3 linked regions of the Nothobranchius furzeri genome follow. The protein of the gene in region 2 binds, or shares a complex with, the protein of the main gene of each other region. Links are inferred from orthologs where the notes say so. Each region holds a gene or a part of one and is shown on either strand. Other genes may lie near its edges.

Evidence for each region. The genes of interacting proteins can lie anywhere in the genome.
Region 1: the proteins of gdf5 (region 2) and bmpr1aa are in contact, whole or in part, in a crystal structure (PDB 3QB4), measured with the Homo sapiens proteins. The link is inferred for Nothobranchius furzeri from reciprocal best matches to the Homo sapiens genes GDF5 and BMPR1A. Residues at the interface, in NP_000548.2 of Homo sapiens: Arg399, Phe435, Pro436, Leu437, Ser439, His440, Glu442, Pro443, Asn445, Val448, Ile449, Leu452, Ser455, Met456, Pro458; in NP_001393490.1 of Homo sapiens: Gly65, His66, Cys67, Pro68, Ile77, Thr78, Phe83, Ile85, Glu87, Cys100, Met101, Lys102, Glu104, Gly105, Phe108, Gln109, Asp112, Ser113, Lys115, Ala116, Gln117, Arg120, Ile122.
Region 3: the proteins of gdf5 (region 2) and twsg1a are in contact, whole or in part, in a crystal structure (PDB 8BWL), measured with the Homo sapiens proteins. The link is inferred for Nothobranchius furzeri from reciprocal best matches to the Homo sapiens genes GDF5 and TWSG1. Residues at the interface, in NP_000548.2 of Homo sapiens: Glu434, Phe435, Pro436, Ser439, His440, Glu442, Asn445, Val448, Ile449, Leu452, Ser455; in NP_065699.1 of Homo sapiens: Cys26, Lys28, Cys31, Ala32, Ser33, Val35, Ser36, Leu39, Ile40, Cys44, Gln45, Cys46, Arg47, Cys73, Val74.

What each region holds. Positions count from the first base shown.
Region 1 is NC_091752.1:44,663,074-44,667,269, reverse strand, and holds the start of bmpr1aa (bone morphogenetic protein receptor, type IAa), read left to right. Parts: upstream 1-1,394; 5' UTR 1,395-1,557; intron 1,558-4,196. UniProt on the Homo sapiens protein: On ligand binding, forms a receptor complex consisting of two type II and two type I transmembrane serine/threonine kinases.
Region 2 is NC_091743.1:78,134,796-78,138,848, forward strand, and holds the start of gdf5 (growth/differentiation factor 5), read right to left. Parts: upstream 2,808-4,053; 5' UTR 2,264-2,807; coding exon 1,636-2,263; intron 1-1,635. UniProt on the Homo sapiens protein: Growth factor involved in bone and cartilage formation. During cartilage development regulates differentiation of chondrogenic tissue through two pathways.
Region 3 is NC_091751.1:42,813,370-42,817,639, reverse strand, and holds the start of twsg1a (twisted gastrulation protein homolog 1-A), read right to left. Parts: upstream 2,803-4,270; 5' UTR 2,611-2,802; intron 2,189-2,610; 5' UTR 2,166-2,188; coding exon 2,040-2,165; intron 1-2,039. UniProt on the Homo sapiens protein: May be involved in dorsoventral axis formation. Seems to antagonize BMP signaling by forming ternary complexes with CHRD and BMPs, thereby preventing BMPs from binding to their receptors.

The DNA.
Region 1 (4,196 bases), on a different chromosome or scaffold from region 2:
CGGTGAGGGTTGCACCCTGCCAGGGTTGCCCTTTGTCACCGGTTCTGTTCATAACCTTCATGGACAGAATTTCTAGGCGCAGCCGTGGTGTGGAGTGTGTCGAGTTTGGTGGCAGGAGAATCTCGTCTCTGCTTTTTGTGGATGATGTGATCCTCATAGCTTCATCCAGCTCTGACCTTCAGCTCTTACTGGGTTGGTTCACGGACGAGTGTGAAGCGGCTGGGATGAGGATCAGCACCTCCAAATCTGAGACCATGGTTCTCGACCGTGAAAGGGTGGCTTGCCAACTCTGGGTCGGGAGAGAGGTCCTACCTCAAGTGGAGGAGTTTAAGTATCTCGGGGTCTTGTTCATGAGTGAGGGTAGGAGGGATCGGGAGATCGACAGGCGGATTGGTTTGGCATCTGCAGTGATTCGGACGCTGAGCCGATCTGCTGTGGTGAAGAGGGAGCTGAGCCAGAAAGCCAGGCTCTCGATTTACCGGTCGATCTATGTCCCAATCCTCACCTATGGTCATGAGCTTTGGGTAATGACCGAAAGAACGAGATTGTGAATACAAGCGGCCGAAATGAGTTTCCTCCGTAGGGTGGCCGGGCTCAGCCTTAGAGATAGGGTGAGGAGCTCGAACATTCAGGAGGGACTCGGGGTAGAACTGCTGCTTCTCTGGATCGAAAGAAGTCATTTGAGGTGGTTTCGGCATCTGGTCAGGATGCCTCCTGCACACCTCCCTGGGGAGGTGTTTCGGGCATGTCCTGCTGGCGGGAGGCTCCCCGGTCGACCCAGGACACATTGGAGAGGTTACATCTCCAATCTGGTCCGGGAACGCCTTGGGGTCCTGCCGGAGGAGCTGGTGGAGGTGGCTGGGGAGAGGATGGTCTGGAGCTCCCTAGTTGGGATGCTGCCCCCGCGAACCGGACCCGGATAAGCGGAGGAAGATGATAATGACAATTTTGTCTTAAATGTCTTCAAATTTTGATTTCAAATCTTTCAGTATCTAAATTAATATGTTAACTTTGCTGGTCAGAATAAGTTATTATGGGACTTACTGTAGAGCTGGACCTGCACTTTTTATTATTTTAATCATTTATACCATTTTAATTTCTCATAATACCAAATAATTTATTTGTATATTAAAGCCAGAGTCTGTGTTTATTTCTTCAGACAAATAATTATATTTTCAAAAAATGCCTAAATGAATAGTTTGACGCAAACAAACTATTTATTAATCCGAGATTCATCATCAATCTGCTTATCATCTATTGCATTTACCAGGAAATAGTCGTGCTGGACAAAAACTCCGTGAATACGTTAGGAACCTTAGAGTGAGCCGTCTTCACGCTCATAGACTATCTTAGTTGTGTTTGCTCTTCATCGTCTAACAGGAAAAACCGCAGAGTGAGAGGTCTTGCGGCTGGAGGAGGACGGCACTGAAAACATCGCAGAACTCGCTGGAATTTCGAGTTTCTGTTCCGCTGCTGCTGGTCTGGATCTGACCCACGGGATCGTTTTTAAAACAGGAGAAACAATCGGAAGCCAAACCAAAGCACCAATTAAAACAGGTAAGGCAGGTCCGCCCTAACCCATAACTTCTTACGGGTCCAAACCCTGTATGTACAGTCTATGGTCCTAACCCAATTGTCTCACCGTCTATGTCCTGGAGCATAAGTTACACACGGGGTTTAAAGGTGTTTGTTGTAAAACAACCGCGGAATTGCTTTCACAAGATGGACGAGTGTGTTTTTTTTTAACCAAAACTATGTGTCGCCTTGACATCAATATTATTTGATGATTTTACATTTGGTTTGTAGACTCAAGTGATTTAGTAAGAGTCCCATGGACTGATTTCTGCGTTGGCGCCAGGACATAGACGCATCCAACCGGGGGAAAAGTTTGCTTTACTTTAGCCGTAACTCGAAATCTCGCTGTTTTTAGGCGGAAATCACATTTTTATTTTATTTTAAAAGACTCCAGTTGGTGTCAGGCAAACGAGTCACTTTGTGTTTTTGTTTATTCTAAACCAGTTTGTTTACCGCTCGTTAGCCTGTTAATCGGTTAGCATGCCGGCTAGCCTTTTTTCGTAAATGGCTGGGAAAGTTAAAATGCGACAACCCTTTCGTGAGATTCTGGTTGTTTGTGAAGGTTGCATTTAGTGTGGACGTGCCCGGGTCAGACGGGTGTTTTTATCGTAAACAGGCAGCGTCCTCCTGGTTTTTGTCCCCGTGGGTGCTGCTGGTTTGGGACCAGTCTCATTTGCATCAACTCCATCAGCTGTCTGCTTTCTAACATTGTGTTTATTTATCTCCTCAAACTCGAGTAACGTCTTTGATCTGTTGCGTTGTGACTTTTAAGGGTAACTGGTGACTTATGTCAGAGAGGAGGTGTCTACCGCGTCATGGCTCATGACTGAGGTTGTTGTGGTTGTTGCTGATGGGACTCATCACTCAGCAGCCAATTAAAACCTCTAGTTCTATTCTTCTTTCTTTTTTATTTTACTTGTTCCCATCCAACCCCTAGGCCCAAACCGATGCTGGCTTTACATGAAACATGATCTAATCTAATGTCACAAACTCCTGAAGGGTAACAGCAGAGCTGCTGGAGAACCATCTGGGCTAAATGGTTGGTTCTGGTCTCGTTTGAACTCTTCAAATTGTTCCTAACACAGTCAGAATGGCTGCAGACTGAGCTCCAGATGTCTGAATGTGGTTAGAGCAGAGAGATGTCTGACCGGAGCACAAACGTTGGTTGTAATCGTGCTTTGGGCCAGTTCAGGCTCAGTAATGTAGAATCGTGTCAAAAAGCTGCACGTCTGGGCTGATCCACACATAGATTTGGCGTGGCTCCAACCACAGCTGCTGCCAATCTTTTTTCTGATGTTGACTAATCTGTGATTTCATTGATGCCTGCTTCCTGTGGGTCTCTGTAACTAGAACCTTCCTCAGAACATTCATGTAAGGACCAGTAAAGCAAAGGAATCAGAGTCAGAAGGGTTTATTTCCATATGTGTGAGAAGGTTCACAACATTAGGTAGCTGCTGTGGTGCTTGGTGCAAAAATCAGAAATAAGTACAATAAAATAATAATAATGTAGAGAAGCAACAGAGAAAAGACTAATATACACAAAACAAGTCGGTACTGGTGAGAGCAGATCAGACACAACACTGGGTCAGGTGACTGGAGTGGGCAGTCCTAGGATTGTTATTCATGAGTCCAACTGCAGAGAGATGAGAGGTTCGGGTCCAAATGGATCAGAACCTCCTGATGGAGCAAATCTAAAAGACTGTCCAGGGTGAAATGGTCCTGGAGGTGTACAGGTCCTGCATAGAGGGGTGTTTGCAGCCAATGACCTTCTCAGGTGAGCGTACAAGCCACTGCAGCCTCCTCTTATGTCTGATGGAAGTGTAACAGTCTGCTCACTAACACACCGTAAACACTGCTGTTGGTTGGAACTCTAATGTGGCGATGGTGATAGAACGTGTGCTGATCTACCAACGCAGAGCGACGGTGGAATTATTCACATTAGGGCTGGACAATATATCTGCATCAGAATCGGTATCTGCCGTTGTTTTTAACATGTCAGTATCGATCCGATAAAAAAAAAAATACTGGGCTGATATTATCAACCGATATTTTTTTCATCTTGTCACCATTTGTTTGCCTGTTTCAGAGGGTGAGGGGGTGATGTGTGTTTGTTTAGTCACGTGACAGTGATCGTAATCATCTCAGAAGCATACATGTGTGTGTTGCATGTACGTAATAACAAATTCAGCTTTAATGATTTTCATTCTATACAAAATCTGCTGATTTCAGAAGCATTAATGTCAGTATATCAGTATCGGCCATAACAATGACCTTAATATCGGTATTAGGGTTGTCACGGTGTGAAAATTTAACCTCACGGTTATTGTGACCAAAATTACCACGGTTTTCGGTATTATTGCGGTATTTTTTTAAACGTGCTACATTTTCATACAATTAAATAAACCCTGTTTGTCAGAAAATATTGTCCTCAGTTTGTGTCTAAGTTTAGCCTAAAATGTGTTATTTTGTAATGATGTTGTTTATTTGTTTACATTTTTTCCCTTTAGTCTTTAAAATACCAATATTTGCCCATAACTTCTTATTTTATGTCTGTTTGATGTCATCATTTTAAAAATATTAGATCAGATGATACTCAGTACTCAAGTAGCCTTCTAATCAGA
Region 2 (4,053 bases):
CTGAACAGGTGTTTAGTGTTCCAGCGCCAGGAGGGAAGGCTGGTCGCCTTCTTTAGACAGTTAGGGCTGGGCATAGGTGATGCCAAGGCCGCGCCGACATCTGCCGCTACGGACTCTGGCAGTGGACTTATGTTGTGGATTTACCCGCCGTCCTCGCAAGCTACACCCCGGGGCGTTGGACGGCGTTGGAAGCTCAGACCCCGGGGACGGGGGTCACACCATCCGTGACAGCTAAGTACCGCTGCTTACGTGACTCATGCTGGACAGTTGGTTTTACAAGAGAGGGCTTGGGCCATGGTGTTTTATCGTTGTGTTTTATTATTGGTTGTGCAATAAAGTGTGTCTTTTATAAGTCGTTGCCTACTGGTGGTGTGTTCAGGTTCTGACCGGAGGGCAAGATATTCTGCCCGTGCTGCCCACGGCTACTTTTATTACAATAGCATTGGTTTTGTCCTCATTTAGATGAAGGTAATTAGAGGAAAAACAGGTTTTAATTACAGAGGAACGATCCTGAACACAGACTGCAGGAGAGCTTGGGCTGACATAGTAGTAGTCAGTCATCTGCATACATGTGTAGCCTAGTGAACTAGCCCAGAACTAGTCTAGTGAACTAGACCAAACTTTGGTCTAGGAACGCTCCACTAGAACCTCTGCAGCCCCTAGCAGCATTCTGGCTGGCCAATCACAGCTCTCTAGAGGGGTTTCAAACTGATAGAGCGCTGTGATTGGTCCACAATGGTGGGCCGGTCACAGTGACCTATCTGCTTTGTGGACCAATCACGGACCTCTGTTTGTCTGGTGGGCGGGATGATGCAAGAGTGGAAAAAAATGGCGACCGCTCATTTTAAATGGGTTTTACATTAATTCTGGACTATTGGGACTTGGGCTTTATTGAACCAGGAGCAGATACACGTTTTTAAGTTGTTTATTTAGAAAAAGGATGTATTTTTACCTTCTACAACCTCGTTTATCGACATCCGTTGTGGTGAGTATGCCACGTTGTTCATTGTCCAGTAGCGTGCGGGAGATCGTTTGAAAGGCAACTGTAGAGCCCGAGAGCCATCGATGGAGTGTTGCCGGACTTAATAATATATTATTTAGTCGGGCTTGCCAGGCATTAAATGTGATAGTTTACTAAGTTTTTTTAGAATGATGCCTGGAGGAAGTATGTAGATCGAGAAAAGCTAAGGACCCAAAACTGAACCCTGGGGGACCCTAGAGGTCGAGAAGAACAGTTTTCAATGCAAACACTAAAATATCTTTTATTCCAGTATGAGCTAAACCAATCACAGGCCTTCCCTTCAGATCCTGTTCTTTCTCCTACTGATCCTAGATCTGTGGAGGTCTACAGAGCCCTCCTTCACCAAATCTTCACTCAGAACTAAATGGTTGGTTTTAAGTAAGGTTTGTGTGTGAGCAGCAGCAGTGATGTTTCCCTACAACTGAAACATGACCGACAGAACATTCTGCTGCTTCCAAACCATCTGATCCCAGAACTGGATCCAAATCCTAGGAAAGTTATTCAGTTTTTCATTTCTTTCTTTCTTTCTTTCTTTCTTTCTTTCTTTCTTTCTTTCTTTCTTTCTGTTCCTTTGAAAGCCTATAGTCTTCGTTATAGAGGACAGAGACAGTTACCTTGTCCCTTGTCCACAAAGCTGGTGATGGTGTTGGCCAGAGCCGCGCTGCTGTTCACGTCTCCGCTGCTCAGTGACCAGTACAGAGACAGCATGTAGTCGTGAGGGGTCACCACCGGCTGCCTGGCGCCTGGTTTCGGTGACTTGATGCTGACGCCCCGCTCCACAGCCGCGCTCTGTTTTTGCTCATACCCGCTGCGCGCAGCGGCGGCTGCTGCGCCCGCCCTGGAAGCGGCTTTCCCCGGTGAGCCACCTCCTCCAAACGTCTCAGTTCCTTTCCTGGCAGCATTTGCGTTAACAGCTGCGGGCGCGTGCGCTTCAACACGTGCCTTAGCGGCGGGACGCCAGGAGCACACAGCCTCTCTGCACGCGGATCTTTGCGCTCCGTCCTGCTGCGGCTGGTCCAGCCTCCCCGGTGCAGCGGAGATCCCCGCTGGTTTCTGACTGGCAAAATTCGTCTCACCTGTGGTCGGCAGCGCACTCACGCGCACACGAGGAGCTGGTTTCCAAGAGCCAGCGGTTCCTCCCGTTCGCTCCAAGGTGGTTCTGGTTCTGCTGAGCGAACCGCGGACGGGATGCAGGAAGACTATCGTCCAGCTGAGCAGAAGGGGAAGATTCTTCACTCTCATCCTAAATCTCTGCAGCCTTTTGGCACATCGTCTATAAATCTCTTCAGAACGATCTGACCCGCTGAGCCGACACCAGGAGCGCGGGAAGTTCAGTGACCTTTCTCATCCTCAGACCCGTGAGGTCCAAAATGCGCGTCTCGCTCCCAAACGCTAGAGAAACGGGGTCTGACTCTCACAGGGTTAAAAGAGTCATTTGGTCAGGGTCAGGTGTCAGAACCATACTGCTGATGGTGGACAGGTGAGACTCTGAGACCTGGACCCGTCTTCTGCTCTCCAGCGAACTGTTCTGCTTGGTACCATGTAACAACTTCTTTAAATCCCACTTCTTTTTTCCATGTGAGGAGAGTATGGCGTAATGCGGTTGCCTCCGTTTTTTCTCTTTCCCTCCAAAGCTTGAACTCTGTCCAGTGAAAATATTTCACTCACACACAACAACCCGCAGGTGCTCCAGAATCCTGCAGCAGACCTGAGCAGGAATTCCAGAGAGCGGCTTTAATTACGCCGTGATGTCATTCTGTCCCAACTCATTTAACAGTGATAATTCAGCCCACATCTTCCTCCCTCTTTTACACACACACACACACACACACACACACACACACACACACACACACACACACACACACACACACACACACACACACACAAATTATGATAAATGATAAATGACCCACTTTTGTATAGCGCCCGCCAGAGTAAGGACTCCAAAGCGCTTTACAGTGTATCATTCTTCCATTCACACACTGATGGTGATGAGCTACGATGTAGCCACAGCTGCTCTGGGGCACACTGACAGAGTTGAGGCTGCCGAGCACTGGTCCCTCCGACCACCGCCAGCAGGCAAGCTGGGTTAAGTGTCTTGCCCAAGGACACAACAGCAGAATTCTCTGTCCGGAGCCGGGATCGAACCTGCAACCTTCCGACTACTGGAAAACCCGCTCAACCTGTTGAGCTACTGCTGCCCCACACACACACACACACACACACACACACACACACACACACATCTGTGTGGCTCTGAAGAGCTGCAGCAGCTGGATGTTTCCTATTCTAAGGCCAGATGAAGGAGACTGAGGCTCCAGTTACTTTATAAAACACAATGAGATGAAGCCCTGAAGGTGAGTCCCAAGCTGGAGAACACGTAGACATCTGTTGAGGTTTGATCTGAAGACCCCAAAACTCAGATTAAAATTAGGACTAATCATTAGCTTGAGTGAAGCCTCTGATAATTCAGTAGAGAAAAGCAACCCTCACATCTGACCTCCTTCCTCAGATGATTATATGGAAAAAGATGCATTAAACCTTTCATAAAGTCATGAGTCTACAGATTAGAGAGAAGTTTAGATTCTTGTTTTTTAAATATTTTAACATGTCATGGCTGACCAAATGGGCTCCATTCATTCACCATTAGTCATGCTTAACTTTTGCTGCAGGTTTTGCACCAAAGAGCCAAAAGACTCTTTCCTGTTTCAAGTTGCTGTTGGTGCCAAACCCTCACTAAGTCACATCACAGGAAGGTAAAGTGGCAGGTTGATGAAACAAACCATGACTTTGACTCAGAAATGTTTTCATCTGCATGGAGTTCAGAGCGGAAATAAAACTCTGATGAGGTAGGATGAAGAAACAAAACAGGACTTCTTCTCCTGTTCCTTTAAGATGTTCTTCAGCTCTGATCCTGGGTCAGGAGTTCAGGACTTAAACCTCATCCAAGAACCTTAAACAGTAATCAGAACCATGAAAGTCAGGTGACCTATTTGGTCGTCACACACACACACACACACACACACACA
Region 3 (4,270 bases), on a different chromosome or scaffold from region 2:
AAAATGAGCAGAAAACCTAAATATTTAAAGCTCAGTTTGCTCCACTGGTTTACTGTGATGCTCACCTGTTCCAGCCAGATACCTGCATCATGGGGTTGATCTGAGCTGAGGAGGAGACTCCTGTTGTTTTGTTCATCTTCATCATAATAATGACAACATTAGATGACAACAGGTGCTCACATAGGTTTGTGCTGATGAACATGTCTGAGCAGCTTGACCACGTTGTTGTGTGTCGGGGAGGAAACACAACAACAGCAACAACAGAGCCGTGCTGGTTTGAGCGTGTCGCTGCTCGCTGGAGTTATATCAGCTCTGTCTGGACATTAGTTGGAAAACTTTCTCTTTCAGTCATGAACACATTACTGAGCGGTTAAAACCTCCGTTTCTGGGCTTCAACGTCGGAAAATAGCTGAGTGAACTCTGCGTTGAGTGAGAGGAGTGTTTAGTTTGTCTGAGACAGCGGAGCTGCAGACACTGGCAGCAGACGCTGGAAAAAACACAAAGGAGGGGCGCTTCGGCTCCGCGCTAATGCCGCAAAGCATCATGGGAGTTGTAGTCTTTGCGGTAAAATCAGCCAGTGGGTCAGTTTTAATATATTTTTGATATTTATCTCGCGGGCCACATAAAAATGCTCCGCTGGCCGCATCTGGCCCACGGGCCTTGTGTCTGACACATGTGTCCTAGCCAATAGCGATGGCAGATTTAAATTCAAATGAAGTGCAGAGTATTTATCTGACAACGGCACAACACTGACAGTTTTAGGCAGAAAATTTAAAATTTAAACTAAAATACACTTAAGTGCAAAACTATTGCCTACACGTGTCTGCAGCACGATTAGACATGCATTTATATAGTTTATCAGAAAAAAGCAGTTGATTTGGGGGTGACTTGCTCTTTAAGGGTACAACAACAACTGGGCCGCTCCTGTTACTGGCTAACACACCATTCACAACCCTGATGCCTTTTTCTGGATGGTGTCGAAATACACCAAATACATGCTGCCGGCTCAGCAGCGTTTACCAGCGTACACTTGGCAACCCTTCGGCTTACAGATCGTAAACAAAGACTACATCCCTCTTTGACTTTTTTGAAAGGAAAGGGATCTGAGATGGGTAACCAGCCAACAAAATGTACAGCAATTAGCTTTAATTTGTGGCAAATGCTTTGATCGTTGAGCTTTGCATTAGATCAAAGAGCTTTTGTATTTATACAGAAACTAGAACCACGCTGGATATGTTTGTTTTTTTTATCTCCAGGTGTGTTTTTGGTACAAAGGTGCATTCATGTTTCTGGTTCAGCTGAATGCTGATTTAATCTGAAGCTTGCATATCTCACCTTCAAACAAAGTATTCATTAGCATGAAAAACTGCAAACATCCCAGTGAGAGGATCCTTTTACCTGCTAAAAACATCCCCACGGATTACTGTGGCTGAGGTCATGCAAGTGAAACACACCTCAGGTAAAGACTGTTCTTTAAGGATGCTAATGGGACTTCTTCCCGCTCCGCAAGTGCAAAACGGCTGTGGATGGGAAAGGGGAAAAGTGACATCTGGGAAAAGTCCCAGATGAAAAGTCAGAGCTATAGGAAAAAAGCTCCCAGACAACCAGAGCTGTAATTCTAACAGCAGCTCAGGTGAAATAATCATCTCTGCTTTCTGGAAAACAACTATTTGTTCCAACGTTTCCTTGCTTATCAGAGGAATTCATCGACATTCTTCCCAAACAGATCCCGTCTTTGTTCTGGGCTGAAAGCTGAAGAAAGAAACTTAATGTGAGGTTTTATTTGGAAAAAGCAATAAAGTGGGATCGGAGGCTCTCCCGCTCCTCCGTTGTGTTCCTGTCGGGGATATCAACAGTGTCTGTATATATGAAACAGCTGGAAAAGGGGGAAAAAAGCTTGAACTCGGCTGCACTTTTCCTGCTTTCATCACTACACTCAGGATCTGATTGCATCATCCAGCTGAGACCAGAACCACAGAACCCACACTTGCCTCCCAAGTGGGGTGGATTTGGCGTGGTTGTGAAGGATGCAGAGTTACCTGGATGAGACACTTGCTGACGTCGCTGGCACAGAGGGCTTTGTTGCACCCAGAGGTCAGAGACAGCCCTGACAGGAGGAAGAGGAGAGCTGCTGTGACGGGGAGGATCAGCTGACCAGGCCTCATCCTGACGGGTCACCACCTTCCAACTGGAAAAGAGGAATAAATCTCAGAGGGAGAGTGACAGGAGGTGCAGTTACAAACACTCACCTGTTTGGCTTATTTCTAATCCAAAGTACTCAAAATGTATTAAATCTAATTGCAAACATCATGGAAATCACAGTTCTGTCATGCAAAGTTAACATTCTAAAAAGGCCTGCAGTCAGATTTCATTCAAAACATCTGGCAACATCAGCCCCCTTCACCCATTTTCTACCGGTTTCATCAAACTCTGCTCCTCTCTTCTGCCTCCCTGCTTCACATGAGGGAGAGGAAACATGTGAGGAACATTAGCTGCCTCATTCCTCTGCGCGTTTCTTTAAGCCCTCGTCTCTCGTTCCTTTTTGCTCTCTCGCGCTTAGAGAAACAAACGCAGCGAGGAAACAAAGAGATGAGGTGTTGGAAAACTCACCACAGCGCGGTTTCACAGCCGTTCAGCGTCTCTGTTCTCCAAAGGACCGACTTGTGCTTTCTCTTTGAACTTCTCCAGGATGGGGTTCCTGCCACCGCTCAAGTGTCCACTGTGTCCACAGGGCGTCAGTCTCTCCGCAGCACAAAGCGACAGGCAGTCGGGCGCCTTAAAGGCACAAGCTCCATTTTTCCCAGCTCGGCTCTGTGGAGGAAAACACCGGTCCTCAGGTCTGAGGGAGCCTGACTCACCCAGGGGGAGGAAGGGGAAGGAGAGAGAGAGAGAGAGAGAGAGAGAGAGAGAGAGAGAGAGAGAGAGAGGGGGGGGGGGGGGGGCTTCTTGGAGCAAAAACTCAAAATACGCTGCAGATCTGCATAAAATCCGCTCCAGCACGTGAGCGTGGTTTTATTTGCCTCTTTTCCACCCCCTCCTCCCCCCTTGACCCCCGCCCATCAGCGGCTCTGTGGGTGAGCTCATAGGTGAGAAAGGCCGACTCGGAAGCTGTGAAGCTGATCGGACTCCCCGCTGAGGAGCGACCCTCCGCGCTCATTTGTAGCCATAGACTGTACATACGTTTGTAGCCGACACGGAGAGGCTCCGAGGGGCCAATTACAGCTCCGCAGGGGCTCCTCCTCCGGCCCGAGGGGAGGAAGAGGAGGCAAATTAGCATTTTAATCAGACTCAGGGGGAGGCAGGGGGAGACGGGCTAACAGTCAGTTTGGGTCGTTTTTCAAGGGGAATGCAGAAAAATACAAAACAAGTTTGTTTAAAAGAGCTGATTTAGTGATTAATTAGTTACAAATCAGTCTAAGTAAATCATTAAATTTATGAAATAAAACAAATTGGTTTAATGTGTAAAACGTGTAGGGAGACAGCTACGTTTAAATAAACTAATTTAAGGTTTGATTTTCTTCAGATACGCTTACTGTTTTTAATTGAACAACATATTACTGAGTATGTCATTTTATTTAAACATTTAAAAATAAAAATGACCTAATTGAGTACTTTTTAATTCTCACGTGTGCATTTTAAAAAATTGAGTTTAAATGTTTCTTTGAATCTTTTTAAGATGGAGAACTAAAATCAAGTTTCAATATTTTAGAAAATTTGTATTTATTGAAAAATGAATTCGTGACAAATATACTTAAATACAAGTCTACTTTAGAGATGCCTTAAAACATCTGGAATAATTATTACAATCCTAATGTAATAATTGTAGAATGTAGAAAAAGGAATGTCACAATAATTCCTAATATTTATCATCTTTACTATTTCATAATAAATTAATATTGTAACTATTTTCTCTTGTTTTCAGTGTTTTAATAATTAAAATAAGGACATTTAATGGAGCTTTGCGCTTCTGTCACCAATAGCACCTCCTACTGGTGGAGGAGACACATTCAAGTCAAAATGAAGAACTCACACGAACCAAAATGTAATTTCACAACAAATAAAATTTATTCAATTATATACAAGTCATGTAACAAGTAAATATTAAAATAGACATTTTTTTAGAACTATCGTTCAAAAGGCATTATGTTGAAAAAATAGGATTTGTTGTGATCTCACATTGAAACTGTAAAAGTTTTTTTCTGGTTTCTTCTGGAAGCAACAACAGACTTTAATGTGTGCGAGACTCAGTGAAGAACACACGAAGGGTGAG